Pelodiscus sinensis: one gene and its partners. The protein of the gene in region 2 binds, or shares a complex with, the protein of the main gene of each other region. Links are inferred from orthologs where the notes say so. Each region holds a gene or a part of one and is shown on either strand. Other genes may lie near its edges. The genes, in order: PHF10, SMARCD1, DPF3 and PBRM1.

The links.
Region 1: SMARCD1 (region 2) and PHF10 share a complex: the UniProt entries of both Homo sapiens proteins name them as parts of the neural progenitors-specific chromatin remodeling complex. The link is inferred for Pelodiscus sinensis from reciprocal best matches to the Homo sapiens genes SMARCD1 and PHF10.
Region 3: SMARCD1 (region 2) and DPF3 share a complex: the UniProt entries of both Homo sapiens proteins name them as parts of the BAF complex. The link is inferred for Pelodiscus sinensis from reciprocal best matches to the Homo sapiens genes SMARCD1 and DPF3.
Region 4: SMARCD1 (region 2) and PBRM1 share a complex: the UniProt entries of both Homo sapiens proteins name them as parts of the SWI/SNF-B (PBAF) chromatin remodeling complex. The link is inferred for Pelodiscus sinensis from reciprocal best matches to the Homo sapiens genes SMARCD1 and PBRM1.

Annotation. Positions count from the first base shown.
Region 1 is NC_134713.1:121,613,158-121,620,795, reverse strand, and holds the start of PHF10 (PHD finger protein 10), read left to right. Parts: upstream 1-4,618; 5' UTR 4,619-4,703; coding exon 4,704-4,772; intron 4,773-7,638. UniProt on the Homo sapiens protein: Involved in transcription activity regulation by chromatin remodeling. Belongs to the neural progenitors-specific chromatin remodeling complex (npBAF complex) and is required for the proliferation of neural progenitors.
Region 2 is NC_134729.1:6,453,492-6,460,475, forward strand, and holds the start of SMARCD1 (SWI/SNF-related matrix-associated actin-dependent regulator of chromatin subfamily D member 1), read right to left. Parts: upstream 3,022-6,984; 5' UTR 2,983-3,021; coding exon 2,827-2,982; intron 1,697-2,826; coding exon 1,509-1,696; intron 84-1,508; coding exon 41-83; intron 1-40. UniProt on the Homo sapiens protein: Involved in transcriptional activation and repression of select genes by chromatin remodeling (alteration of DNA-nucleosome topology).
Region 3 is NC_134714.1:68,031,522-68,038,862, forward strand, and holds the start of DPF3 (zinc finger protein DPF3), read left to right. Parts: upstream 1-4,322; 5' UTR 4,323-4,701; coding exon 4,702-4,733; intron 4,734-7,341. UniProt on the Homo sapiens protein: Belongs to the neuron-specific chromatin remodeling complex (nBAF complex).
Region 4 is NC_134721.1:41,055,328-41,062,184, reverse strand, and holds the start of PBRM1 (protein polybromo-1), read right to left. Parts: upstream 3,007-6,857; 5' UTR 2,869-3,006; intron 2,596-2,868; coding exon of another isoform or gene 2,586-2,595; exon of another isoform or gene 2,571-2,585; intron 553-2,570; exon of another isoform or gene 1-552. Other genes in the region: GNL3 (guanine nucleotide-binding protein-like 3), read left to right, coding at 3,622-3,667, 4,136-4,194, 5,137-5,274, 6,230-6,343, 6,840-6,857. UniProt on the Homo sapiens protein: Involved in transcriptional activation and repression of select genes by chromatin remodeling (alteration of DNA-nucleosome topology). Required for the stability of the SWI/SNF chromatin remodeling complex SWI/SNF-B (PBAF).

The DNA of each region.
Region 1 (7,638 bases), on a different chromosome or scaffold from region 2:
TGAGCTCTGGTCCCACCCCAGCCCGGTGCCCCCCTAGCATGATGCCCGGGGGCAACCGTCCCCCTTCCTCCCCACTTTGCTACACCTCTGCTGGGGACCTTGGCAAACTTGGAGGGCTGGAGTGGGGTCCGAGATGGCTGGGGGGGTCAGCGGAGGGGGCATAGGCATGGCAGGGGGAGCTAGAGTGGGAAAAGGGGCTAGAGTGGGGAGGGCTACAATGGGAACAGGAGCCAAGTGTGCCATCACTTCCCGGATGGAGGTACACAAGTTTTTGCCCTGCTGCACAAGCTGGTCCCACATTCAGTTGTACCACTTGGCTTCATCCCAGACCTTTTGGGCCAGGGTTCATTGCATGTCACGCAGGATGGCCACGTGTTCCCTCATGAGGTCCTCATGGACCCTCCTGCACTTGCAACTCCAGCGGGATCGGGCAGCTGCCTCTGATGGCATGGAGCACCCCTCAGTGATGGCTAGTCCAGCTGTGGAGGAAAAGAGGGAGAGGTGGTCAGTCATCCAAGCAGACACTGTGCATGAGGCCATGCCCTCCTGTGTGAGCAGAGACTAACAGTCCTTGGGCCAGAGGACGGTGATGTCTCGTGAGCCAGGCCATGTGTGGCCTTCACTGCAGGACGAGCCCCAGGGACCACGCTTCCCACCACCCCACTCCATCTTCACAGACAAGCTGGCAAGGGAAGTGTCCAGCAACAGTGGGATCCCATGGGCGGGAGAGGGGCCTGGAGCAGCCTGGCCTTCCATGGGGGCTGCATACACAGCTGACCTGGCAGTGCCATCCACAAGAGCAGATGGTTCCTTGAGCATGCAAGCATGGTCGTGTGCTGTATGTGGCACCCCTCAAAGTGCTCAGGGTTGTGCCTGTGCCTGTGCCCGTGTGCTCAGTCTGCTTCCAGCAGTGTCTGGTGGTGGGAGGGAGTTCCCCATTGGTCAGACGTGTGTGGGTCCTCCACACAGCCTGTGAGCACGAGACCATGGGTGCTCCAGGGCTAGCTTCTGAGGCCATGTGGTACACACTGCCGCTGCATGTGCTTGCACGTGCACAGAGTGAAGCACACTGCCCAGGCTGAGCGACGATCGCTCCTCATCCCCTCTGCACCTCCCTCTCCTGCCCTGGTATGTGTGTAAAACTGAGCACTCACCTGATGATCCCTCCCCGTCATCAGAGGATACCTGGGAGATGTCCAGGGCTTGGGGTACTGGCTCCAGGGTGAGGGTGATTGTACTGGCTGTGTCCTCTTCATCCTGCAGCTGCTGTTTGTCCTCCTCCTCATCAAGGAGCTCCGGCTAGATGTCAGCAGATGGTCAGGGCAGTGTGTGTGTGTGTGTTACACCCGAGTCTTCAACTGCTGGCACACAAGACCCCGTCGCAGTGGGCAGTCTAGGAGAGACTGACGGGCGCCCCGAGGAGTTTAACATCTGTGTCTTAGTCTGCTAGGATTGGGATCCCTTCGTGGAGGTCAACCAACAGGCTGACAGATGCCCCAGAGTTTATAGGAAGAGCTTATTACATCTCAGATTTTAACTGCTAAGATACAGGATCCCTTCGCAGCGGGCAGCCTAGGGAAGGCTGAGAGATGCCCCTACGGATCTGTCCCCTGGAAGCAACACGATCCAAATGCCCCAGCTCTTCCTATATCTGTCCCTTATGACCGGCTGAAGTTCTTTTAAATTGTGCTTGGTTCTGTTACAGCAACTGAAGGAGTCAGGTTAAACCTTAAACAGTTAGACTGTGTCTAGACTGGCCAGTGTTTCCAGAAAATCAGCTGCTTTTCCGGAAAAACTTGCCAGCTGTCTACACTGACCGCTTGAATTTCCACAAAAGCACTGACTTCCTACTGTAAGAAATCAGTGCTTTTTGCGGAAATACTATGCTGCTCCCATTCAGGCAAAAGTCCCTTTGGTGCAAAACTTTTGCACAAAAGGGCCAGTGTAGACAGCTGAGATTTGTTTTCTGTAAAAAAGCCCTGATTGCAAAAATGGCCATCGGGGCTTTTTTGCGGAAAAGCGTGTCTAGATTGGCCACGGACGCTTTTCCGCAAAAAGTGCTTTTGCGGAAAAGCATCTGTGCCAATCTAGACGCTCTGTTCCGAAAATGCTTTTAATGGAAAACTTTTCCGTTAAAAGCATTTCCGGAAAATCGTGCCAGTCTAGACGTAGCCATAGGGGCCCGTATCTTCTTTCTTATCTAAGATGCCAAATTGTGTTGGCCTGTCTTTGTGACGCCAGTTCCTACAAGGGAGTTTCAACTTAATTTACACTTGCAAGAGAGATAACTAAATTGTGAGTACTGGACATTTTTTTACTGGGCGGGAGATTCCTGCCCCCTGGACAGTGTGTGTTCGTATCAATATAGGTTTCAGTCACGGGCACTCCTCGGCAGCCTCTTGGTCAGCAATTAGCGTATCTCTGTTTACAGCCATCCAGGGTCACAGCAGCCTGCATATTCGGGCCTTCTGTCCAAGGCTTTCAAAGACTATGCTGTTTTACTGGTCTGTGTGCCCTGCATGCTTCCAGGCCAGCAAAGATGGATGTTACAGGGTGGTTCCTGTCTGGCTACACTAGGTGACCACAGGTGTCTTGAGTCCTGAGTCCACCATTATGGGTGGGCAAAGGGCTTCACCATCCCCCAGGATTCTGTGCAGCTCCTTGTAATTTGGACATGTGTGAGGTCCTACTCCAGAGCAAGAGCTGTGCTCCCTGTCTCTGGCATATCCTTGGCGCAGCTTCCTTGACCTTGCTCCTGACTTGGTCCAAAGTGTGGGGGTGGTGTCCCCTCTTGGCTAGAGCCATCTGGCCATATATGTCAGCATTCTGCTTCTGGGAGTGGGGATCCTGCAGGATGGCCTCCTCCCCCCACAACTTGAGGAGGGACAGGATTTCTGCCCCAGACCAGGAGGGTGCGTAGCATTTGTTGCCCTATGCTGGGCCTTGGGAGCCCTGATGCTGCTCCCTGTGAGGGCTATAGGGATCTTGGGGGGCTTGTTGCTCTGCCATACCTCCCAGTGTGTGGCAGACAGAGCCGTGCGATAAGGGTGCTGCTCCATGGCCAGCTTCCTGCCACAAGGCTTGGCCCAGGTGTCTGCAGCTTTAAGAGCTGGCACGAGACAGGAACTATAGAGTTGTGATTAGTATGGATGGAGTGTCCACCTGGGCCTATGTTATTTCCTGGAGACCTTTTCTTTCAAAAGAAATGCCCCCTCTTCATCAACACATGCCTTTTTCCGAAACAGCTCTTTCGGAAAAGGTGTTCTTCCTCGTAGAAAGAGGAGTACCGCTGTTGGAAAAACCTCTCTGTTCTTTCAATTTACTTTAGAAAGAATACGATTGCAGTGTGGACGTAACTTAAGTTTTGTTGAATCCTAGCATGCAAAAATTATCGGATTAGACAGCGATAAACCACACATGCAAATTGTGCATCAGAGTCATAAAACTGGCTACAAATGCATTAAAAACAAGTCAAAAGCTTAACAAATGGAGACTGTGCCAAAATGCTCCTCACTTGAGGCACCGCCTGGGCTTGGTCTGGCTCTACCTGGGGGTCTCCTCTACCACTTCTTGGGCTGACAGCTGTAGCCCCTTGTCATAGGACTGAGCAGTTAGGGTTGACAACAATTTATATGTAAAGTTAACTAACCCTCGCTGGTGTTCTGGCAAAAGAACTCTCCATGGCTATGTCTAGACTGCAGGCTTCTTTCGAAAGAGGCTCTTTCGAAAGCATCTTTCGAAAGAGCCTCTTTTGAAAGAGAGCGTCTAGACTGCACGGAGAAATTTCAAAAAAGCGGCTTGCTTTTTCGAAAGAAAGCATCCAGTGAGTCTGGATGCTCTCTTTTGAAGAAGCCCTATTTACATTGAAGAACGCCTTCTTTCGAAAGAGGAACTTTCGAAAGAAGGCGTTCTTCCTCGTGAAATGAGGTTTACCGCCATCGAAAGAAAAGCCGCGTTCTTTCGAATTAATTTAGAAAGAACGCGGCTTGAGTCTGGACGCAGGGGAAGTTTTTTCGAAAAAAGGCTACTTTTTTCGAAAAAACCCCTGAGTCTGGACACAGCCCATGAGAAAGGGAGAACCTGTGCATGAAAAAACAAAAACCAAACCCTGACATTGGTAGGGTTGCCAGGTGTCCGGTTTTGAACGGGACAGTCCAGTATTTGAGTTTTCTGTTCAGAAAACAAATGGAGAAAATAGAAATGTCGGGTATTTTCTAAATCAGCTGTAATGCAGATTGTGATGGAATGTCAAGCGTGTCTGGTATTTTTGTTGAAACCATCTGGCAAGCCTGGACATTGGAGCGTTGTGGCAGACCAGGAGTGAGGGGTCTTTTACTTAGAAATTGTGTCTGGTGATACAGTCTCAGGGCTTGGCCTTAGGGCTGAGACTGGTTTAACACCCCCCCCCCCAGTAAAGGCCGCTGGGGATCCGCCGGGAGAGGCTAATTAGAAAGCGGGAGTGAGAGAGAAAAGGGGCGCAGGCACTGGGGGGTGCGCAGGCACGTGGGGAAGGCCCTGGTGGGCGGGGCCGCGGGGAAGGGGGCGCAGGCACACGGGGGAGGGCCGAGGGGAGGTGACTCCGAGAGGGGGGTGTCGGGTGGGCGGGGCGCACTGCGGGTCCGGCCAGCAGGGGGCGGGGCGGGCGCGACGCCGGGGACGCTGCGGCTCCTCGCCCCGCCCAGCGGAGGGAGCGGGCGGCGGCTATGGCGGCGGTTCTGTCCCCGCGGGTCTGTGACAGCGACCCGGCCACGCCCGGGGCCCAGTCCCTGAAGGTGAGAGAGGCGGGCCGGGCTGGCAGCCCCTCCCCCTGCGCGGCGGGATTCTCCCGGGAGCGCGCGGGGGGAATCAGACCAACCCTCCCCCCCCCGTGTTATGGGGGAAGTGACCGGGCGGGAGCCAGCCCGTAGCGCAGCTACCTCCCGCCCGGCCTGTTCCCATCGCCCCCCCCCCGGCCCACAGAGACCCCAGCCCCGTAGGGAGCCGTGGCCCGGGGGTGGGATAGGGAGCCCTGGATGCCTCTTCCCGCGAACGGGCTACAGCTCCTCAGCCTTCTCGCCAGAAGGGCTAAGCCCGGGCAAAGGAGATACAGCTCCCGGGGCTCCTCCAGGGTTGGCTTCCTGGCCTGGAAGTTGACCAGTTTCTAGGTTTGGGACTGGCCAATCTCGCAGGAAGCTGAAAGCCGCCCCCGTGGGCCAGAGATGAGCAGTGGCTAGTATCTTTGCAACGGGTCTTTCCAGTGATGTGCAGCTGTTTCCTGCATCTCCCCTTCCTTCAGATTCAGAGGTGACCTTAGCAAATGCTGTCTGAAAGTATCTTGGATAACTCAAGCTTGCAAGTGGTCTAAAAAGGCCTAATAATAATACAGAGTACTTTTATTCAGTACCTAGGAGGTTAAATATCATCTCATTTATACAGATGGAGAAACAAAAGTGCACAGAAGGTGGACTGGTCATACAGGGAGTGCATGGAAGAACTGAGAATAGAGTATTAGATTTAAGTCCAAAAAGGATCATTTTGGTTAAGACTGATAAATTTAGTTTAATCAACTAATCGAATAGTCTATGCAATTTTCAGCAGCTATTCAGTTAGGGTACATCTACACTTGCTCCCTAGTTCGAACTAGGGATGCAAATGTAGGTGACCAAAATTGCTAATGAAGCGGGGATTTAAATATCCTGCGCTTCATTAGCATGATCTGGCTGGCACGTTAACTCCGCTCAACAGCTGATTAGACCCAGGAAGTGCGTGCCAGAACGCGTTCGAACCAAACCCCTTGGTTTGAATTAACGTTACTCCTCGTGCACTTCCTGGTTCGAATCAGCTGTTGAGCAGAGTAACATGCTGGCAAGATCATGCTAATGAAGTGCAGGACATTTAAATCCCCGCTTCATTAGCAATTTTGGTCACCTACATTTGCATCCCTAGTTCGAACTAGGGAGCAAGTGTAGATGTACCCTCAGTCAATAAGGGCACCTTTGCCTTTGAAATGTAGCAAGAGCCCTGATGGCTCTTGCTATGTTTCAAAGTCAGAAGTGCTGTGGGAGCAGAGGGCAAGCAGGGGACACAAGCAGTCCCCTGCTGGCCTGCAATTCCTGATTTTGAAATGTGCAAGAGCCTCCCCTCACCTGGGGCTCTTGTACATTTCAAAAGCAAAGCGTGTGTGGGGGAGTCAAGCAGACTGAGGAGGGCATTTGTACATTTCAAAAGTAGGAAGCACAGGGCTGACTGCTTGAGGTCCCCCCTCCCTTGCCCTCTACTCCCACAGTGCTGCTTCTTTTGAAATGTAGCAAGAACCCTGCACCAGTTCTCCACTGTGCTCTCCTTGCCCTGCCCCCTGTGCTGGGAGGAACTGGCTTTTAAGCCAGTTCCTCCCAGCGCTGGCTCCTGCTCTTCCTCCTCCCCTTCTTGCTGCCTCTCTCTAATAGAGACAGCGGGCGGAGGGGTGCTACTAGTCAAGTCACTAGTCGACTATCCAATATGCTTATTGGATAGTCAACTAATCACTTACATCTCTAATTTTGATCATTGGTTTGATTTGATCTGTGTATCCTAGCTCCTTTTTTCCCAAGTCTAATAGCTATGGTTGAACTAGACCAGGCATGTCCAAAGTCCGGCCCGCGGGCCAATTGCGGCCCGTATTCCGGTTTAATACGGCCCCCGCTTCCTCCCCCTCTCCTGGCTCCCCGGCGCTCTTTGGAACTGGCGCACCCAGCGCGCCGCTTCTGGCCGCACCGCCGCCGCCGCCGCCCATGGCCTCCGCGGTCCTAGAGCCTGCCCTGTAGGGCACGTCCGCAGCCCCGCTCCCCCGCTCGGCTGCGGGTTCGCCCTGCCCCCGGGCCGCCGTGAGGCCGGCGTGCCCTGCGCTCTCCGCCCGCCTCCGACCCCGCGGGCCCTCCACCTTGGGGCTGAGAGTGCAGGGATGGCCCTCACGCATGTTCACTTCTTCAAATCTGGCCCTCTTTGAAAAAAGTTTGGAAACCCCTGAACTAGACCATCTCCTCTGGAAAAAATCTTGTGTTATGAGCTGGATGAAAATTTGTTTTGGGTTGAGTTAAAACTGTATTGAAATTGATAAGTGTAAATTCATCCTTCAGTTAACATAACTCTAAGAGCATATACTGCTAACTAAGACAAAGTGAGTCTTTGCCCACGATAGCTTATGCTCCAATACATCTGTTAGTAAGGTGCCACAGGACTCCTTGTTCCTTTTGCTAAATAAGAGAAAAGGAGTGTGTGAATGGGCCCAGGAGCTTTTGCTGAGTATTGAGGAGGGTGTGTGTATCTGTGTGTGTGTGTGTGTCTGGAAGCATGGTGGCTGACCTGAAGAAACTAGGGGCAGTTTTTGTGTTGAGGTGTGGCATGAAAAGAATGCCCTTGGTGGTGTGAGCAAAAGAAGCTGTTTCTTGTTTTATTTCTTCTGTATCTAGAGAAACAGGATGTTTGTGTAGTTTTTTTTAAATAAACAAGACTGCATCAAGTAAATATCTTTCACTAATTTCTACTCTCATTTTGAACACCACAGGCTTTGGCAGAAAAAGAGCAATACTAATATTAAAGTTTCTAGTGATAGCTGATTATCTGCACTTAATTTTGCACTTCATTTATAGTCTGAATTTGTCTATCTTATTCTTACACCTT
Region 2 (6,984 bases):
TATAGCAGCAGAGGAAGCATGAATAAAAACCCTCACTCACCCTCTGAGGTAGAATCTTGTCAGCCATTTTCTTTTTCTTAGCGCTGTTTAAAGAAGGATACATGTATTAAGCGGGCAACCAGTTTGTTTCTCAAACAGCCAGAACACAAGAAAAGAAGCACAGGTGTGGGTTTATTCTCAGTCTTGGGACTCCGCTATGAGGGTACTTGCTCCATAACAACTGGCTCAGTCCAGTTCTCTCTTTCAAAGACTGTTTATTGTGACTATCAGTCTCTATACAGACACCTTCCTTACCCATCCCTTCCTCCCCAAGGCCAAAGCAGGACTGAAGCTCAGAAGCTCCTGCAAGACCAAGACCACCTATTATTTGAAGTATCCCAACAGATATAGATAGCTGGGGTTGCCCTGAGTTTGGAGAGGTGTTCGGTTAAATATTTATTTTGGCACAAAATGACTCTCGGGTTTGATTAAATATTAAGCTGGATTTTTTAACAGATAAGTATTTTAAGCCAGGCAATACTGTTGATATGTTAAGTAATAAAAACTCTTGCTCTTGAATAGGAGCAAAATATTATTATCTGAAGCTCCCATCACCCAGCGAAGTAGCTGCACAAAAAGTTTAAGTCAGTTTGAGCCAAAACAATTAAAGAAGAAAGTCCATGAGTATGCTGGGAGCAAGGGACACAGAATATGTCTACACTTGCACCCTCTGTTGAGAGAGGGATGCAAATGCACCTGAGCAAAATTGCAAATGAAGCACTGTGAATTTCCCACACTTCATTTGCATATTAATGTTATGGTGCTATTTCAAAACAACAAAAGCTGTGTAGACGCGGTTATTTAGAAAGAAAAACCTTCTTCCGAAATAACTGGTAAACCTCGTTGTAGGAGGAATAAGGGTTATTTTGCTCAGCTGCATTTATATCCCTCTCTTGAAAGAGGGTGCGAGTGTAGACATACTCACACAGAAGTCCCAGATGTTATGACCCAAACAACAAAGCAATGTGCTGATCTCTGATATCAGTGGTAAGCATACGAATTACTGAATATTGGCCAGTCCATTTTTGTAATGTGGCCCACTAGCATCCAAAGGGGTTTCTTTGGATATGATGGACAAAAATGTATGATTTGATCCCTATTTTCTGGAGGTTCATAAGTGGCCTATTTCAATTTAGATACTGCTTTCCTCGTGAGCATTTTTCTTTCTGAACCACCTTAGATTATGTCTGCTTGACATGGATATTGAGAGTCTCCCTAGCACTTTTGTAAGGGTCGGTGGGGTGGATGCACTGGTGTTTTGGACAAAATCTGCCTGACTTTGAATAACTATTCAGCAATGTGCTGTTAATTGGTTTGTTCCAGCCTTCTGCTTTAGAGAGGGCTGGATTTTGGTGGTATTATAATTATAGAACTTGTGAAGGAATTTGGTGTCCTTCAGGAGGAGTCACTAAGTGGTCACAGAAAAGATAAATCAACCTCATAATGAGGTGAGAAATCTGGCCTCTTACTTGTGGTTACGATTCTGAACCGCTTGCTGCTGGACCTGCTGGATTTGCTGAGGAGCTGGCCTCTTGCGGGACTGATCCAAACCAGACTGGGCCATTCCAGGCCGGACTGAGGGACTCCCACCATATCCTGGGGGACCCATGGAGGGTCCCTGAGGTGTCATGCGGCTGCCTGGCAACATGCCAGGGCGCTGAGGAGAGAAACACAGGGATCTGGTCTCCATCCAACCCAAACTTTGGAAAGATGGAGACTCACCAACAATGGGCTGTTAAGTCCTAAGTACAAGTAGGCTACCAAGCCATGTCTGCTGGGAGCACAAAGCCATGTGACTCATGGGCTTGCTTAGATGGACTCAGATCACAACAGGGCTAGCAGCTCCAGAATGGGATGCTTCCAACCAGGAATAAACGGGATTGTAACATATAAACCATAACCAGCAAAGCTGGCTATGAAGGACGATTCTTAATTTTACACACCTCTCCCCACTGTAGGCCTTATGTCCAAACCCCTGCCTACAATTCACTTCCACTCAGTGAATCATCACTCCTGACATTCCCATAAGATACTCCAACACTCACCCTTGCCTCAGCTCACTCATTTTGTCTAGGCTGCCTCTCCTCTCTCCTTGTTCAGCTCTTAGCTCCCCTCTTTCTACTCAATCTTCTCTTTAGGGTCACATTTTAAAATGAGAGTAACCCTTACTCAGTGATAGACATATAGCCGTGTTAGTCTGGTGTAGCTGAAACAAAATACAGGACTCTATGTAGCACTTTAAAGACTAATAAACCATCTTGTTAGTCTTTAAAGTGCTACATAGTCCTGTATTTTATTTCACCCTTACTCAGGGCATCCCTGATGACATTCTCACCCTGTTGTGCCCCCAATTTTACCCAAACATTTCCTCCTTACCCTCAAATACACCTCCCCATAGTTGGCCAAGTCACCTCACCATGCACTGAGGCTGTTTTCTCCCCTTGCCCTGAGCCCCAGCTTGCTGTCATTTCACCCCACATCCTCCTTCACCCCAGAGCCCTGGACTCACCGGGCCTCCTATGCCCCCAAGACACGAGGGTGCTCAGACCCCTCCCTCCGCCCCATTTACTGCCCCCACTTCAGACAAAGACCAAGCCCGGCCACCCCCTGACTCACCCTCAGGGACCTTCCTCCCTTCCTATTGTTCCCTTAGGGGCACCCCAGCCCAAACCCTTCCCCCTCCTGACCCCTCCCCCATCCCTCCTCCGCCTCCATCTCCGGCCCCTCCCTCTCCCCCGCTTCTATCCCCTCCCCCACTCCTGCCTCCAGCCCCCCCCCCCGTCTTACCGGGTAGGCGGCGCCCGGCAGGGGGGAGCGGTACAGGCCTTGCCCGGGAGCCGGGCCCATGCGGACGGGGGGCCCCGGGGTGCCCGGCCCCAGCGCTCCGGCCCCCCCGCTGCCGCCGCTCGGAGTCACCGACTGGAAACCCGCCCGCGCCGCCATCTTCTCCCAGCACAAAGCGGGGGAGGGGAGCGGAACCGGAACCGGACCCCGACCGTAGAGCGCGCCGGGCAGAGCGGCGCCTGAGGAGCCATAGAGTGCGCGGGGAAGAGCTCCGAGAGAGGCGCGGGACGCAGGCTGCTCCCCCTGCCGCTGGGAGGCCGGAGCTGCAAGGGGCCGCGTGTCGTCTAGAGCCGTGTTTCTGAGCCTTTTTTATAAGTATCCTTTTCTATCCCTCTGTCTACCTAGATCCCCCCAGTACCTACAGTTTTCAGACACAACATTTTTTTCTACCCATTGCAACACATTTATTTAAGCAACTTAATTGGAGCTGGCTGGGTGATGACATTTCTGGGTGTCAAAAGTACAAAAACAATAAAGTGCTGTAAAACTTACAGCAAAAGTTCAGTTTTCTCCAAATTGCCATTGTGTTGACATACTCCTCAGGCTTCTCTTGGGTACCCCACAGGGGAAGGGTACTTGTGCCACTGGTGGGGAGAATGGTGCAGGCAGAGACTGTGCCTGGGGGCAGTGTGGTGTGGAGGCCTTCCAGATGGGCTGTGGGAGGCAGGCACCTTATCCACTGCGCCCCTGGAAGAGTCCCCCAACCTTCTGGCCTTCAGAGCCCCCCCCCATATCTGTCCTATGTCCCAAGGGTGCCAGGTCCATCCATTGCTAAGCTTGTGTTGGGGGGGGGGCTTGACCCCTGTGCTTCTGGTTCTGCAGGTAGGTATGTTATGCCCTGCACCACTGGAGGAGACCCCCAACCTCTCTACTTTTAGGGCCCCCCTTCTGTGTCCTTTGTTCCCATGATGCCAGCTCCATCCCTCGGGAAGCTGGTGGTGGATGTCCCCAGGGGCATGGGGGAGCACTCACCATGGTAACAAAGAAAGGATAAGGGAGGTCAGAAGGGAGGGAGGTTCAGGACCGTCTCCTGTGGTGCAGTGGATAAGTACCTGCCGCTGGAGCCAGAGGTACAGCACTTGAGCCCTGCCTCCCTGGGGACAGCCACCCCAGCTGTCTGAGGGATGGAACATGCAGCCTGGGAACAAAGGGGGCCCTGAAGGTAGGGAGGTTGGGGGCTCTATCCCGTAGCACAGTGGATAAAGTACCTGCCGCCAGAGGCTGAGGGCTCAAGTCCCACCCCCACCCAATGTGGGTTCACCCAACACAAGCTTGGCAGCAGATGGACCTGGCACAGAGAGGGACAGTGCCAGGGGCCTGCCTGGGGAACAGGAGGCCATGCTTGGCAAACAGAGGGCAGTGTAGAAAGGGGCAGGGGGCTGTGCTCATGAGGGAGGGAGAGGGACAGGGACCCACAAGCACTGATGCCCAGAGCACCCTGGCTGCACCAGCAACCATCACTCCTGCTGTTAATGTATCCTAACACAAACACAGGGAATGCAAGGCCATGAGGTAGTTGGGGCTGGACCTTTATGGAGCAGAAGGCTGGACTAGGTTCTTCCAACCCTCATCTGTGAGTGAGTCTACGAGAAAGTTCTTCCAGCAGAGCCTAGCCCAGCTCTCCATGCGCTGTGTGCCCTAGGGATGGGCTGGGGCACCCTGGGGGGCAGGCCTGCGCACGTGCCATGTGCCCGGGGGCAGCGCTGCGCGCCTGGGCCCAGGGCACCAAAAAGGCTCAGGCCGGCCCTGGGCTTGTGTCCCACGCTGCCCCAGCCAAAGCTGGCTGCCTGCAGGTTCCACAGTCCAGATTTCTACCTCCCAGGGGCAAGGCAGATAATGGCTTCTAATCCACTCTGTCTGCGGCAGTAATGGAGCAGCTGGACAGGTCCACAGCAGAGTCTTAACTGAATGAGAGGAGCCCCAGGAAGCCAAAGTCCATTAGTGCCAGAGGGCCTCTTGAAGGGACGCTTGGGACCCTCTAATCTGATTGGCTCCAGGCCTGGAATATCCGGTGGCAAATTTGCTGAGCACCATTTAATTAAGTAGGAGGCTAATGTGATGCTGCTTTGTAGGGGCAGGAAGTCCTCTGTGGCTGAGGTGTGCTGGGCTTGTTTCCATACACACTGCCCTGGAGTGGGACCACAGGGCTGCACCATGGGAGGGGCCATAAAGCCAGCTTCCTGTGGTGCTGTGCATGACAGACAAGGTATTAGCACTGGGGCCTTGGCCAAACTCCTTCCTGTCTCCCTAACTGCCCACTGCAGTTTCTACCAGCTTCCTCTTTGCTTCCTGGCTGTGTGGCAGCTTTGTGAGGAGGCCAGGTCTTAGCAGCGGGAAGCCCATCCCTGCATACAGACTGGGGCCTGGCGCTGAAGAGTGCCCTTTCAGCAGGCCGGGAGCAGCATTCCCTTAAAGGGTGCGTTTACACAGCAGCTTCATTCCGGACCAACTGATGTTATTCCAAAATAACAAAGAGTTTGTCTACTCGACAAGCCATTATCATATATATAGTAGCCCAGTGTCTGTGTCTGTAACGCCGAAATGCTGGCTGTTCCCTCTGGGGGGGCGCTATTTCCTGAAATGCTGGCTGTTCCTCTGGGTATGTCTACACTACAGCACTAATTCGAACTAACTTAATTCGAATTAGTTAATTCGAACTAAGTTAATTCGAATTAGTGCATCTAGACCTAAAAACTAATTCAAATTAGCGTTTTGCTAATTCAAAACAGCATATCTACATTGAGTGGACCCTGAACTGAAGTTAAGGCTGGCCGGAAGCAGTGCCAGCAGGGCATCAGGTTAGGACTTAGGGTGTGGAGCTGCTGCCTCAGGCTAGCTGAGGGCTGTGCTTAAAGGGACCCAACCCCCACCCCGGACAGACAGTTCTCAGGGTTCCCTGCTTGCTTGTCTAACTCGATGAGGGACAGCAAAGCAGTCCTGTCTTGGAGTGCCCTGAATGCCCACACTCGGCACATCACAGCACTTGGCCATCAGACCGGCTGCACTTGCCGCAGGCTGCCATCCGGGGGCGGGGGGTCAATCGGGGGGCTGCAGGAGAGCTTCCACCCCGAGGAGCCCGCAGAGCCACCCCAGTCCTCTTCTTTAATACACCTGTAACTGTTTAAGCTTTAACCTGACTCCTGCAGTTGCTGTAACAGAACCAAGCACAATTTAAAAGAACTCCAGCTGGTCATAGGGCAGACACAGTGAGGGAGAGCTGGGCGTTTGGATCGTGTTGCCTCCAGGGGACAGATCCGTAGGGGCATCTGTCAGCCTTCCATAGGTTGCCTGCTGCAAAGGGACCCTCCCCTAGTCCTAGCAGCTAAAGACACGGGTATAATAAGCTCTCCCTGCAAACTTTGGGGCATCTATCAGCCTGTTGGCTGCCCGCTGTGAAGGGACCCCGGTCCTAGCGGCTAAAGACATGGACATAAAACTTTGGGGCACCCATCGGCCTTCCCTAGGCCGCCTGCTGCGAAGGAACCTTGAGTTCTAGCAGTTGAAGACTCGGGTGTACAGGGGCAGATGACCATTTTGCAGGGCCCAGGGCAGCACAATTTTGCGGGGCCCCCCTTTGCCACAGCGCATGTGCGTAGCTTCTTGAAGCCCGGGGCGGTCGCCCCACTCGCCCTGCCCTGTATCCGCCCCTGTGGGTGTATAACACACACACCACACACTGCCCTGACCATTGGCTGACACTCCCCCGTGGCGGCCCAGCTGAGTGGTGCAGAAGTCAGCTGAGCACCACGGCGGGTGGCAAAGGGGGGCCCCGCAAAATTGTGCTGCCCTGGGCCCTGCAAAATGGTCATCTGCCCCTGTACACCCGAGTCTTCAACTGCTAGAACTCAAGGTGGTGACGTGCGGCGTGACAGCAGCTCCAGGCCCCGCCTCCTGGCCGTGAATGTCACCGCCCCACCTCCCTTTGCCTACCACCATGGTGCTCGGCTGACTTTTGCACTGCTCAGCCGGACTGCTGCGGGGGAGCAAGCGGCCGTTTGGGCTCTGCACCCCACACGCACCCTGAACGAGAGGCAGGAGGGGGAGAAGAAAAAGAGAGAGACAGAGAGAGAGGCAGGAGGCAGAGGAGAGCTGAGAGAGAGA
Region 3 (7,341 bases), on a different chromosome or scaffold from region 2:
ACAATTCGGGAAGCCAAGGGCAGCAAAGCCAGCCATGACGCTGTCCAGATCTGGTAGACAGACGAGCCTGTTCAGCAGCTCCGAATTGATGGCCCTCACCACCTGCAGAAAGAGACAGACAACAAAATGTTAGAAGGGGTGCCTTATCTCTTAGGAGGAGAACCCACCACCCACCTTCCCTCTCAAACACCCCGGGAATCCCCTCCTCAGAACTCCCCCCCCCCAACAATTCAGGGTGAGTGGAGGAGCTCCCTCACACTCCACTTTGCCCTTCCTGACAGTCTCCCTTCCCCCCACCCCAAACTGTGACTGTCCCCAGACAATGACTTACCTCCATCAGGATGGATCCAACAGTAGACCTGCCCACTCCAAATTGGTGTCCCACGGAGCGGTAGCTGTCGGGGGTTGCCAGCTTCCAGAGGGCAATGGCGACCCTCTTTTCCACGGGGATAGCGGGCCGCAGGTGGGTGTCTTGCCGTTGCATAGCAGGGGCGAGCCAGGTACACAGCTCTTGGAAAGTGGTCTTTCTCATCCGGAAGTTGCGTAGCCACTCTTGGTCATCCCAGAGCTGTATAACGAGCCGGTCCCACCAGTCAGAGCTGGTGTCAAGCCTCCAAAAATGCCTGTCCACAAAGAAGTTTGGAGGCAAGGGCAGTGGGGCTACATGACGGACGATCCCTTCGTACCTCTGGTCTGGGTCCAGATGGGGAAGTAGCCTCATGACTGTGTCATGCAGATGCAGCAACACTTGTAGTATGATGGCGTGGGGCCATCGCCTGCCCAGGGGCAGCTCTGGCTCTATGCCGAAAAAACGGGTCTAAAACAGAAAAACCTCCAAACAAAAAACCTGCTGGGGTGTCCCAGGAAGCTGAGCACTCCAAATCAGCACTGCAATGCTTTGCTTACCTCCTAGAGGGACAGCAAAGGCAGCTGCAGAAGCAGAGCAACGGGTGTTCAGGGGCGTCCCTTTAACCACGCGTCTCTGCAAAGGGCAGGCAGCAGCACCCGGAAGGAAATGCTGCCCCCATGCCCTAGCAGAAGCGGTTCCAGGTGGCTTTTAATTTCGAAAGAGCGTCCAGCAGTCAGGACGCTCTTTTTCGAAAAAGCGGATCGATTTTCCGATCCGCGTATTGTAACACGAAATACTTTCGAAAAAGCCTCTTTCGAAAGAGGCTTGCAGTCTAGACATAGCCTTTGGGAAGAGAAAGACAAAACATTTCTGGAGTAGCTTTGTTTAACTTGTTGTTTTTCAGCCAGGGCTATGCATACCTCATTGATTTTCAGGGGTACGCAGACAAAGGTCTTTCAGGGGATACATTCATTCAGCTATATATTTGCCTAGTTTTACAACAGGCTATGTAAAAAGTACTAACAAACTCAATACAAACTAAAATTTCATACCAACAATGACTTGTTTATAGTGCTCTATACACTCAAATTTAAGTACAATATTTATATCCCAATTGATTTATTTTATAATTATATGGTAAAAAGAGAAAGTCAGCAATTTTTCAGTCAAAGATTGCTGTAAGACTTTTTTGTATTTTTATGTATGATTTTATAAGCAAATAGTTTTTAACTGAGGTGAAACTTGGGGATATGCAAGACAAATCAGACTCCTGAAAAGGGTACAGTAAGGTGGAAAGGTTGAGAGACATTTTAATTCAAATAAGAGCTGTCTGAAGTTGCTCAGGGGCTGAGAATGTTACAATAAATTCCATAGAGGTGGACTAGGAAGCACAGTACAACCAAGGCAGTGAAAGGGACACTAAGTTCTTTACTCACATAGTTTTGCAATTTATCCCATGGTTATAAAATGTATCATTATGCTGCAGTTTCTCAGATGTTTATCACCTTCATGCATGTGGTACCCATCAGTATGTAAATATAAATGTTATATAAACAAATCTATGGCCCCCTAGGGATGATTATGACTTTTCTATGTGACAGTTCATGGCCAGTAAGAATCTGTGACAATGGAGATAGAACCAATTTTCTCCTATACTTTGAGCTAAAGGAGAAAGGTTTTATCTTGCTGACAATGACAGAGTTAAGCAATTCTGATGCTATCTAGCATAAGCCATAGGTACCTGAACATACTATCCTGTTAATTTCTCTGAAGGACTATGTCACATATGCATTTACCAACAATTTGCAGTTAGCAGCTGACTTTCTCTATGGCCAAGAGGGAAGTGGCAGACATGAGGTTCCTAAGTCATATCCATTGCCTTCTGGGCCAATATTATATTAAACATTATTATAATGGGCTTTGGACTCTTTGACCCCATTCTTAATTCAGCCCTCTGTTCCAGAAGTGCTGCTGTCTCAAACCTCCTTTGAAACCCAGACATATCACAAAACATTCATACTTCCAACTTACCAAGTTCTGAATGAGTGAAAGCAATGGACCATGATCAGTGTTCCCTCTAAGGTGAATGGCTGCGCACAAAAAATTGTAAGCCTGCCCACCTCCTTTGCAGAGCTGTGCTGCAACACTCACCTTTCTATTGCACGTGGAAGGTGGCTGGCATGGGGCGGTGTGGCAGGTGGGGAGGGGACAGGCCTGCGCCCGGAGTCGCATTGGGGGGCAGATGCTCTGGAGGGCAGGGCTGCATTGGGGGCTGGCTACCACTGGGGACCACGTAGCAGGAAGGTTGCTCCTGCTGGGAGTTGGGACTGCAGGTGGGTGGGTTCCTGCTGCTAGGGGTTGGGGCTGTGGCCATGTGGAGGGCAGAAGCTTTCCATCGGCCCCGGATGGGGCCAGAGCCGGAGGCATGTAGAGGGTGGCAGGCAGGCTGCTCTGGTGGTCCCAGCCAGGGTCAAAGCTGGTGGCACCTAAAAGGCCTCTCTGAGGGTGTTCCTGGAGAAAGACTGGATCTTGCTCCTTCATGTATTGCTGGTGTCACTTTCAAACTCTGGGGGTGGAGTGTTTCCATACCAACTTGGAGCCTCTGTTGAAGGGATTCTTCATTCTAGTTATTAAAACAGAAAAGGGAAAGGTACCAAACAATTGAAATGGTCAGAGTTGAGAACAGATCCTGGATGTTAAGCCCTCTTGCTGAATATGCTTAATGAATGGGTCACTGCCCAAGAGTCTATGCCATAAGCATGTCTGGCACTAAGAGCTGAACTGTGTCTTTTATTGCAGCCTTGAAATGTAGGAGATACTGTGTATTGTGAGCTGGAGGAGAGAAGGTAGGACTATTGCAATTTGCTTTTATCTGTACCCAGCTCTGCTGATGACTTTCTGTATGACTTCTGGCAATTTATTGAATAGTCCGTGTCTCAGTTTCCCTGTCTATAATATAGGGACATTGTGCCTCAAAAGCATTACAGAAAGTTCGGGATGCCTTGTTCATTTAATGTGGGCAAAGTGGAATGAGACTGCCAGTGCAAAGGGGAAACAGTTCTCGGCTACATTGAGTGCCTAATCTTGCCTTAGTAGGTCAAGCTATAGGCTTCCTACCCATTGCCAAATCATGCCACCCCTGCCCTCATCTTAACACCCTCAGGCCCCCTTGGCGGGAGCTGCAAGAAAACAGAAGGGGGACCTTTGAGAGGTACAGAAATGTTGTAAGGCAAAACCTACATTGATGTCTGACAAGAAGAAACTGCTTAAATCTGAGTGTGATCTACCTTCTGCTAGATCAACACTGGTGTAACTTCACTGATTGTGGTGAGGTTCCTTCTGATTTACAGTGGTATGAGAGCAGAATTAGCCACTTCTTGAGTGTCTTAGCTCATGCAGGCTAATTCATTTGCATACTCTTTTTTAATTAGTCGAAGATAAACTCTGACTTCCTGGAGTTAGTGCCTCTCCCAGAAATGGGCATTTAACAGCTGTATCTGTTCCAGGATTCTTGACTCCAAGTCACTCTGCTACCATGAAAGTAAGTGTCATATGAAATGTAGATTAAAATCCTCCCCCCTCCCTCTCTCCATGTTGAAAGATCAGAGGCCCAGGTCTCAACATGTTAGACAGGACAATCACTTCAGAAGTTGCTTTGTGGGAAAAACAGAGAACAGGCAGGCAGGCAGTTTGGCCACTGTGCATTATGTAACCAGTGCACTGGCTGCAGAAGCTGGATGACTGACATTGAGAAATTCCTAGGGGAGGGGGAGAGGGTGCTGCCCTGGAGTCACTGTAAGCACTAGGAGTTCCAAGAAGCCTAAAGGGGAAAGTGGCTTCAGGTAAAGGAAAACACATTGGGAATAATAAAGCTCAAGAATCTACTGCACCAAATGTCAGTACACCTGTAGTTTATTTTCCTGATGAAATGGCATGCATCCAACCCTTGCACATGAATAAGGGGACATGCCATTTGGGAAATGAAAGGCAGGCACAGCAATCCACAAAGACAAGGTATTCACCCTCATTCCTTTCTCTAGATTTCTTGACATTAAAGAGTCAGATAACTCCAAAGAGTCTTCTGTTCCACATCCTAGCCCCCCTCACTCTAGTTCGGTGTAGTGACAGTCCCTAGTGTAACTGCCCCTTTAAGACCTGCTCTCTTCCAGTTCCACAGAAAGGGAGTGACCTCTGGGCTTTGACAGCTCCCCTAATAACTAGCACAGCCCTGGCTCCGCCCCCAGCGCCGGATTGGGCGGCAGGCCGGTATCCCGTCTTCTGATTGGCTGGCCGCTTCCCCTAAGCGAACCTTTAGAACTCTGAGACACAATATTCTGTTACATTGTAGCAAAATGGCGACTGTCATTCACAACCCCCTGAAAGCGTAAGTAGGAATCAAAAATGTACATATTCCGCGTGGTTTAAATATGAAAAAAGGCGCCTTTCCGATGCTGCTGCCAGCCTGAGCCCGGTGCCTCCAGCCTCCCAGCTGATCTCTCCTCCCTCCCTCTTGCCTTTCTGAGCTCCTCTCTTTTTGTGCAACACACACGGGCGTCTTGCACTGAAATTAACAAAAAGAAATTGTTACATTTGGATTGTGATTAATTGGCTGGCCGAGAGGGAGGGAGAGTGGAGCTCTGAAGGGGAGGATGGCAGCGGGGCTTCTGGCAGCTCTCGGGGCTGCGGGGATCTCGGAAACGGCTAGGTCCTGCAGGACCCCTGAGGAGGGGCTTGCACTTGACAGAGTCCTGAGCCTGTTGTCCGGGCTGTCTCCCCCCGCCACCAACTCCGTGTCCACGGGAGAGGGATCGGTCCTGGAAGCCGGGAGCAGAACTGTCTGTGTTGCAGCGCTCCGACAGCAGTTCGGAGTTTTCTTTTGCAAAGCTTCTAGGAGTTGGGATGAGTTGAAAAGGAGGAAAGAATCAGCCACAGCGTTTGCTGGCTCGGGAGCAGAAGGGGCTGCACCGCTCGTTTCCTAGCAGGGCAGCAGGGGCATTGCAATTACACTTCGGTCTGTGTGCGAGGACTGGAGAGCCGGACTTGCGCGGAATGAATGACTCGGGGTCACTGCTGGGTGCTTTTTAGGCAGGAAGTCTAGAGAGCTCGTTGCCTAGGGGAGGTTTTCTCTTTTGAAAGTGGCAACGAGAGTTGATTGTGTTTCCATCTTGGGCTGGACACACTGGTCGCCGAAATCTGCCCGGATGTAAATGAGAAGCCGAATCTGGCCAGCTGTTTGCTGAGAGATACAGGCGCAGAGTATTGGGACAGGTGCCTCTGCTCTAGAAATATGCTGGGTTCTCCGATCTTGTATTAAGGCGGATTTAAGAGAGGCACACAGGAGCTAGGCATTTTTCTCTGGATCAGGTCCCTCATTTCCTTGTGGCCTGCAGCACACACCGTTAATCCCTCTAGGCATTAGGGAGAGGGGGATTTGGCACCGTCTGTGGGGGAGAAAAGGGGCTGTCTCAACCTTTTAAAAATGACTTCTGTGCTAGGGGGCAGCGCTTGCTAATAACACAAGACGCTCACAATGCAAGAAAGCGGCGTACCTGGGGGAGACACTTCATTTGGACTTCCCAGTCACACTGCGTGGGTATTTTATCCGTTTGAGGTCGTAGAGATGTAATTCCGACTCTGAGCTGTGTCTTTTCAATTAAACTTTCCGATTGGAGTTGGGAAACCACTTGGAGGTTTTTCCCGGGGATTCCAGCGGGGTTGTCTCTGTGCTGTGCAGCAATCTGGAGGAAGGGGAGCTGTACGCCGGGAGGGGGTACACGCACAGCTGTCAGATTTGCATCGCTCCTTCTCCATTTTGGCATCAAACGTTTGTCTGCCATTAAATAGCCTTTCATTTAGCAAATGGTAAAAATCGGTCGAGAAGGGGGAAGTGCCCTTAGAACAGGGCTAGCATAGGAGTAGTAGCTGTCTTTTGGGGAGAAAGACAAAACCCGGTGAATATGTGTGTGGAGTATACAATGTGCCACCAATCAGATTCCATATGTTATAGTTGTCCCAGTGAGAACAACTTCTTAACGCGCCTCCCCCCGCATTCTGCAGCTTAAATCAGTTTAATGTTTCAATTAAAAAATAAATCTGAGTTAGATCAGTCCCGTTCATTGCCAGAGTAACTTCCTGAAAGCACCGTAAGTAACTCTCCGGTATACTTTGTCTCTCTACACATATAACACAGCGAGCGAGGGTATCTTTAACTGGACCAACTTCGGTTGGTGAGGGAATGCATTGTCCTAGGGGTCCGTTTGGTGTGGAGCGACATGCCCTGTGTCTGGATGTGACGACGGCACTAGGATTCCTAACAATGGAGGTCGGGGCTGGTTTTCTTTCGGCAGAATCATTCATTTGTTGTGGGAGGCGAGCTTCCTAAAAAGCAGCCGAGGAGTCTCACGTGGCGGGGCGCGGGGCGGGTGCGTGGAGCGCGAAGGGAAACCTGGTTCTGCGCTGGCTGACACGGGTGCAAATGAGGAGTCACTCCACATGGAGTGACGGGGGCGGGAGGAGATTTCAGCGTGGGCTGTCCCTTACCGAACGACACTGTTCTGTTTTGTGTTAGCTTTGTACGTTCTCTAATTGTGGAACATGACACACTCACACCTGTGATTTACTTCTCCCTTACGTACTAAATCCTGCCTAGTTTGGACGGGTAGTTACATTCTTTTGAAGCTCGGCCCTGTTCCTACTGAAGTCAATGGGAGCAGGAGCAGGTCTGTTATAATTAGCCCCCTTTTCCTCCCCCTCCCCCTGGGGTGAGAAGAGAGGAAACAATAGACCTCAAGTGCAGGGTTTGCTTTTCTCTGTGCGCCTTTTTAAGTACCACTGCTGGGTAGGGGAAACAGGACTGTCACTGGCTGTCTGACACCATCTGTCTTTTTTTTTTTTTTTGAACAACTTGTTTAATAAAACATTCTATAATTTCCATTTATTGTTACAAGTTGCTGATCAGGAAACAATACACATGTAAATAAATTATGCAAAGG
Region 4 (6,857 bases), on a different chromosome or scaffold from region 2:
TTAAAAACAACCAATAAGGCAGACACACAGATGTCAAGAAAACTATTTTTTGCTATGTGGGCATCCTTCGCATTACTGCAGAAACCGTTTTCAGATCATTGGTAAATGTCACAAAATGACAGAGGAAACTAGGGATACAAAGGGTTAATACTTAAGAGATAAGCATGCCCTTACTGGCTTACCTGGGTAACCCTGGCCCTTTCTGACAACAAAAATTAGTACAGGATCTCCCCCAGGTGCCGCCACCTTGGACAGGAGGGCCAAAACTGAAGCCCAAGCCTCACCACCCCAGGGTGCAGGGCAGAAGCCAAAGTCCAAGTTCTTCAGCACTGACTGGGGGAGGAACGGCAAAGCTCTTGATGACAGGGGTCTGGCTCTGACCATAGGTCCCTGTAAGTCTAGCACCAATCTTGGCAATACATTAAAATGGGGCTGCATTCCAATTTGGGGTCCTGACACACAGTTTGAAAACCTCTGCTCTGGACTAAATACAGTAAACTTCCGATAATCCGGAACCTTTGGGACCCACATTATCAGATATGCCGGACTATCAGAAGGAGGGGCTATGAGGGGGGGGGGAATGACACCCCAGACCCCCTCATAGCCCCCCCTTCCGATAGTCCGGCTCTGCCCCAGGAATCCCTGATTCAGCCGCTGCTGAAACTGACCAGCAGCGGCTGAATCAGAGACGCCTGGGGCAGAGCAGCTGGAGTGCTGCTGGGTTGGTCCGGTAGTGCCAACCCAGGCGTCCCCAAGAGCAGCTGGGGTGCTGCTGGGTTGGTCCCACAGCGCCGCTCCATGGAGCTACTGGACCAACCCGGCAGCACCCCAGCTGCTCTGCCCCAGGTGTCCCCAAGTCAGCTGCTGAAACTGACCAGCGGCTGACTCCAGGAAGCCCGAGGCAGAGCTGCTCTGCCCCAGGCTTCCTGGAGTCAGCCGCTGGTCAGTTTCAACAGCGGCTGAATCTGGACGCCTGAGACAGAGCAGCTGGAGCGCTGCCGGGTTGGTCCCCGCAGCGCCACACCTCGGCTCTGCGGGAACCAACCTGGCAGCACCCCAGCTGCTCTACCCCAGGTGTCCCCAAGTCAGCTGCTGCTGAAACTGATCAGCGGCTGATTCCAGGAAGCCCGGGGCAGAGCAGCTCTGCCTCAGGCTTCCTGGAGTCAGCCGCTGGTCAGTTTCAGCAGCGGCTGAATCAGGGACACCTGGGATGCTGCCCAGTTGGTCCAGCAGCCCCGAGGGGCAGAGCTAGGGGACCAACCTGGCAGAGCCCCAGGTGCTCTGCCCCCGGCATCCCCGATTCAGCCGCTGGTCAGTTTTAGCAGCGGCTGAATGGGGAAGCAGGGGGCAGAGCAGCTCCAATGGTCCGGCTGCCCGGAGCACTTCCGGGTTCCTGATGGTGCCGGACCATCAGATGCCGGACCATCAGAGTTTTACTGCATGCCTAATTCTTTCAGCCTTTTCTCAGAAAGGGACAAAATACCGCTTCTGTCCCAGAGAACATGTCAGGGCAGGTAGAAATGATAGACAAATTCACGTGAATGACAGTCTTACAAATCAAAATACAGAAACAGGATGATGTAATAGATGGTCTCGGCCTCAATTTTTTCACCTGTAAAGTACTGGGTGCATAGTTAACAACTGTAGAATACTTGAAGATGCGTATGTAGCTATACAAAAATATTTTATTAATATTTATAGGGCCATATATAGACCCAATCCTCCCAAAAACCTTTTACCGAAAAGGCCTCACAAACTTTCCTAGAACATGTATTCCTTTAAAGTACCATTTAGTAATATTTGAATATTAGCAGACCTGTATTTTACCCAGTAGTTGATCAAATAAGTGGTCACATTCTGTCCCTTGTCCATTACCCCTTCAAAAATTAATAAAGAAATAAATATGTGCATTTAATGTTGCTAACTTTATCCTTTTACAGTACATCATTCCCTCCACTGACTTTTCCTCATATGGTCAAACGTGTTTCAGGATTTATCAGTAATCATATAAAATGATAATATGTTCCCTTTAGGGATATAAAATTCCAGTTAAGTGGTTAACCAGTTAAAGTATTTGATCAGTTAACCACACATGAGGAGGAGTTGAAGGGGAAGCTGCCCCAGCCAAAGCCCCTTGTGCTGTGGCAATGAAGACTGTGGAATCCCCATCCCTGGAAGTTTTTAAGAACAGATTGGACTAGGGGTGTTAAATATTGGTTAATTGGTTACTCAGCTATTCTATAGTCCCCGGTGAGGGGCTGGCAGGCAGTATGCTCTGGCCCCACTCCCGAGGAGCCCCCTGCCACTCCGTGCTGCAGCAGCCCCTGTCCGTGGGGAGAGGGGGGAGCTCCCAGACCTGGCGCAAGCTGGAACTGAGCCGGGCTGCCTGCCCGCCTGGCTCCTCATACGGTTTAAATGCAGAGCCGCAGCAGGGGGTCGGTCCCAGACCCCGCGCAAGCCAGGACTGAACCCGGCTGCTACAAGATGTACTGGGGGAGGAGAGTGGTGTATCTCTAGCACGGACTGGTCGCTTTGCTGATCAGCTAATCGGCTCCGCTGTTACCTCCCTCGGCTGGACACAAGGGATGATGCAGGGTTAGTCGGTCCTGGCTCGGCATGGGCGGGGCCTCCCCCTACACGTCGAGGGGGCTTTGCCGTGCCCCAGGCCGTGCCCCCCGGGGTCAGCGCTGGGCCAGGGCTCCCGGGTCCGTACGGCGAGCGGACTGCCCGCTCCGTGCCTCAGTTTCCCCCGCGGCGGGAGAGCTCCGGGGGGGGCGCAGCGGTGCGAACAGGGGCTGGGCCCCCCCGGGCAGCGCGGCGGCCACACAAAGGGAAGCGGCGGCCTCCCGCAGCCCGGCCCGCGCTTACCCAGCCGGCCTCGCTCCGCCTCCGACAGCCGCGGCCGCGCTCGCCCCCCGCCACCGCTGCTGCTGTTCCGGCCGCTCCTGCCCACTGCCGGGCCCGCCGCTGCCGCAAAGCCCGCCCGGCCGCCAAGCGAGCCCGCCGCGCGACAGCGCGCGCAGCGGCACCCGCCTGCTTTACGGCAGCGTCGCGGGACCCGCCTGCCCCTCGCCAGTCGGCGGCCTCCACGTGCCGAGAGCGGAGCCCGCCGCCGCCGCGCCATGAAGCGGCCCAGTGAGTGCGCGCGTGCGAGGGGCTGGCAGAGCCCCCCCCCCCCCGCGAGTTCTTCCGGGCTGCTGAGGGGAGGGGGTGACGGCGGCTGCGGCTGGGACCCCGGGGCCCGTCGGCCCCCCCCCCCCCCCCCCGGCTCCTACGAGCCTGCGGCGGCAGGGCCAGGCCACAGCGCGGCTCGCCCCACGTGCTCGCAGTTGCCTGCGGGATCGGGGCCCGCGTGTGGAGCTGAGCTCGATTTTTTCCAACCCGGGGTTTGGGGGGCGGCCCGAAAGGTGCCGCTTCGGGCCCGGCCCAGCGAGTCGGTTCAGCCCAGGAACAACGGAAATAGCGGTTAATTTTGAAAAGTGAACGTCGATTGATTTAAACCTAAGATGTTGTCTTACATTCAAATCTGACCCTTTAAAAAGATAAAACATAACGGGTATGTCTGCAGTACGGGGCCAAGTCGAATTAAGACCTGCAGCTTCAGCTACATGAATTGTGTAGATGAAGTTGCTTAATTCAGCTTTTGGCTACGCTGCAGGAAGTCAAAGTAAGAGCCACTCTTCCATCGACTTCCCTCCCTCCTGGTGAAAGCATGGTCACTGCATCAGCCAGAGTGCCCCTCTCACTTCCAATTAGCTGTCTTAACTAGACAGTTAATTCGAACCCTGGAAGAGCGACAGCTTCCATCTTCCTCTACTGTAGACATACCCAAAGTGAAAAAACACCCAAAAGTGACTAAATTGAAACAAAAAAATCAGGACAAAAATTGTTTTGATCAAATGAAATATTTTGATCGATTTTAAAAGTCCCTTTTTAGTTTTCAGTTCAGCAAAATATTTTGAGGTGGGGAATCATTTGGATTAAATAAAATTTTGGTTTTTTTTCCCATCTGAACCAAAAATCTGTTGTTTGTTAAGCTTCTTTGGCTACATGTTTTTGGCTTCCACATTAGTGTTGCTCATAAGATTTTCATTTGGAAGATCTACTTAATTGCAACCTGTTCTTATGTTTTCAGAGTTGAAGAAGGCTAGTAAGCGCATGACCTGCCACAAACGATATAAAATTCAGAAAAAGGTAGGTCCCAGTGCCAAATTTGGTATTAAGCATGCTTGGCTATATTTCAGCCCTCATCATAGAATATATAAAGACATATTTTTGTGGTGTTTAGAAACTGTAAATTTCAGCTCTGCATTCAAATTTGGGTGGGGGATTGAATGTAAAGTTTTGAATAGAACCCATTTCTGTTTAAAGCATAACTAAATGAAGGTGCTTGAATGACCAAAATGCTTTTGGAGTGTGGTGTTATTTTTATTTAACTTCTTATATCACAGTAGTACTAGTAACTAGCCGAATAATTTCAAAGCTGTTGGTGTTTCTTGTTTGAATAAACATTCATAAATTGATTATGGCCTGAGTGCAATTTGTATTATAATGTGAATGCTAGATACTAGTTACAGAGAGGTAGCCATGTTAGTCTGATCTTGCTAAAACAAAAAAAGCAGTCATGTAGTACTTTAAAGACTAATAAGGTATGATACGATCTGAAGAAGTGGGTCTGCCCCACAAAAGCTCATCACCTAAGTAAAGACTAACAAGATAGTTTAAGTGCTAGATATTAATATCCCAGTGCCAAGAATTCACGCATGTACAAATCATTTTCTTTTCTAATGCCAAATACCTTGACAAATAATACAAAAATTATGTAATACAGAACTTTTGTGAGTGGACATATGGTTCAACTACAATGGGAAGTTACTTTTAAATTTAGGGAACAAATCCACAGTGGCAGAGAGATGGACATAACTTGAGTCTTGGGATCTTTAATTTCTGCAGTAGTCGGGGATCTGTTTATTTAAGTACAGCTACATGCTGATTCAGTCTGTAATTGAAAGCCCTTCACTGCAAACACAGAAAAATCGTATATACGTGACTATGAAAGAGAGAGAATGGTGAGGGTCTCTGTATCAAACTGGGTTTGTGACTCCCATACTGGATTTTATTTTTTCTTGCCTATAGGTTCGGGAGCACAACAGAAAACTCAGGAAAGAAGCCAAGAAACGTGGACACAAAAAGCCCAAGAAAGATCCAGGAATTCCCAACGCTGCACCATTTAAGGAACAAGTTCTTCGTGAAGCTGAGCAAAGGAAACAAAGGGTAAATTACAGGTTAGAATAGAATGAAGGGGTTTTGTGCATATTCCCATTCCAGGGAAGCTTGGTATGTATCATGCACTATAAATAGTCTTAATAGCTCTTCACTCTAAAATACTACAGATACTTTTCCAATTTAATATATTAGATAACAACTAGCTATACTAAATCGTGTGGAATTTTTTAGTATTTTGTACTGTAACTGTATAGAAGTAAAATACAAATGTGTGGAATTTTTAGCATAATTAGTTTCCTACAAAGAATAAGATTTCTACATAACCTACACAGCTGTCTTTAAAAAGGAAAAAAATTGCTGAAGACTGCTGTACATAGATATTTGTGGATAGCATTCACTGTCTGCTCATGTTACTACACAGAGGGACCACATCTACCATCATTTAGAAGGTGTCTGTCACTATAGTATTTCTGTCTGTCTTGGCACCAGAGTTAACTGAGTGCCTCAAAACGTTTAATTGGCAGTGAATGTATCAACTTTTCATCAAGTAAGAGAAGGAGTAGAAATAAGCTTGCATCAGCCAACCAGTTCCTTAAGCTCCCAGCCATGATTTCTTAATATTTCCATACCAAGATTGAAAGGATAACGGAGACTGAATATCCCCTTTCCTTCAGTGTGACCACACTAGGTCAAGATTAAAACAAAAACCATACTCAAGAGTGAAATCTTGGTCCCATTGATGTTTTGCCATTAAGTCATTGCAACCAGAATTTCACTCCTTATGTGGATAGAGAACTTAGCTTTCTAGGGCGCTTAACCTGGCACAATTCATTAGCACTAAAAACTGCAAAATATTCAAAGAATAATTCTAGGTGGTAATGTGTTGCACTTTTATAGTGCTGCTCTTTATTTCTGAAGCACGTCATAAACAATCCTGATCATAAGTGGGAAGGAAATATACTCTTTAGCTTATGAAATGTTGTCCATCTTGTGTTGCAATTAGCTTGAAGAACTAAAACAGAAGCAGAAACTTGCTAGGCAGAAGAACCTTGAAAAGAAAAGAAAGCTACAAGCTAAAAAGGATGCTACCGAAACGAAGAAACATCCAGAAGAAAAGGTATGTGTTTGTAGTATAATTTTCCTTTTTTTCAAAGAAGCTAGTTCACTTGCAGCACAATAGAAAAGTTTCTATCCTCTCATAAAGCCTAATCCAGCACCCTTTGAAGTCTATGGCAAAATTCCCATTGTTTTCATGTTGGAGCAACAGAAAAGACTTGTTGATATATTTAGTGAGGATATGGCAATTATAATGCATCCGTTTTAATCAAAGTAAATATAGGGTGTCTGTTTTAGTGCTAACATCCATTTTCATGCAGTGTTCAAGAACAATATTGCAAATATCACAGCCTGGCTAGGTCTGAGTCCATTAAGATGTATACGTGTGATAAATGTAATCCTCGAAGTATCTTTTTTCTTAAGACATGTATTCCCGGATTTGTTGCTTTTTCATGTTGTTGGAAATATTGTAGTTCTAACTGTTATTACCTTCTGTTGTGTAAAGACAATATTTTAATTCAAATTCTCTTATCTGCTCCCACCCTCTTTTTATTCAGCAATCAACCATGAAACTA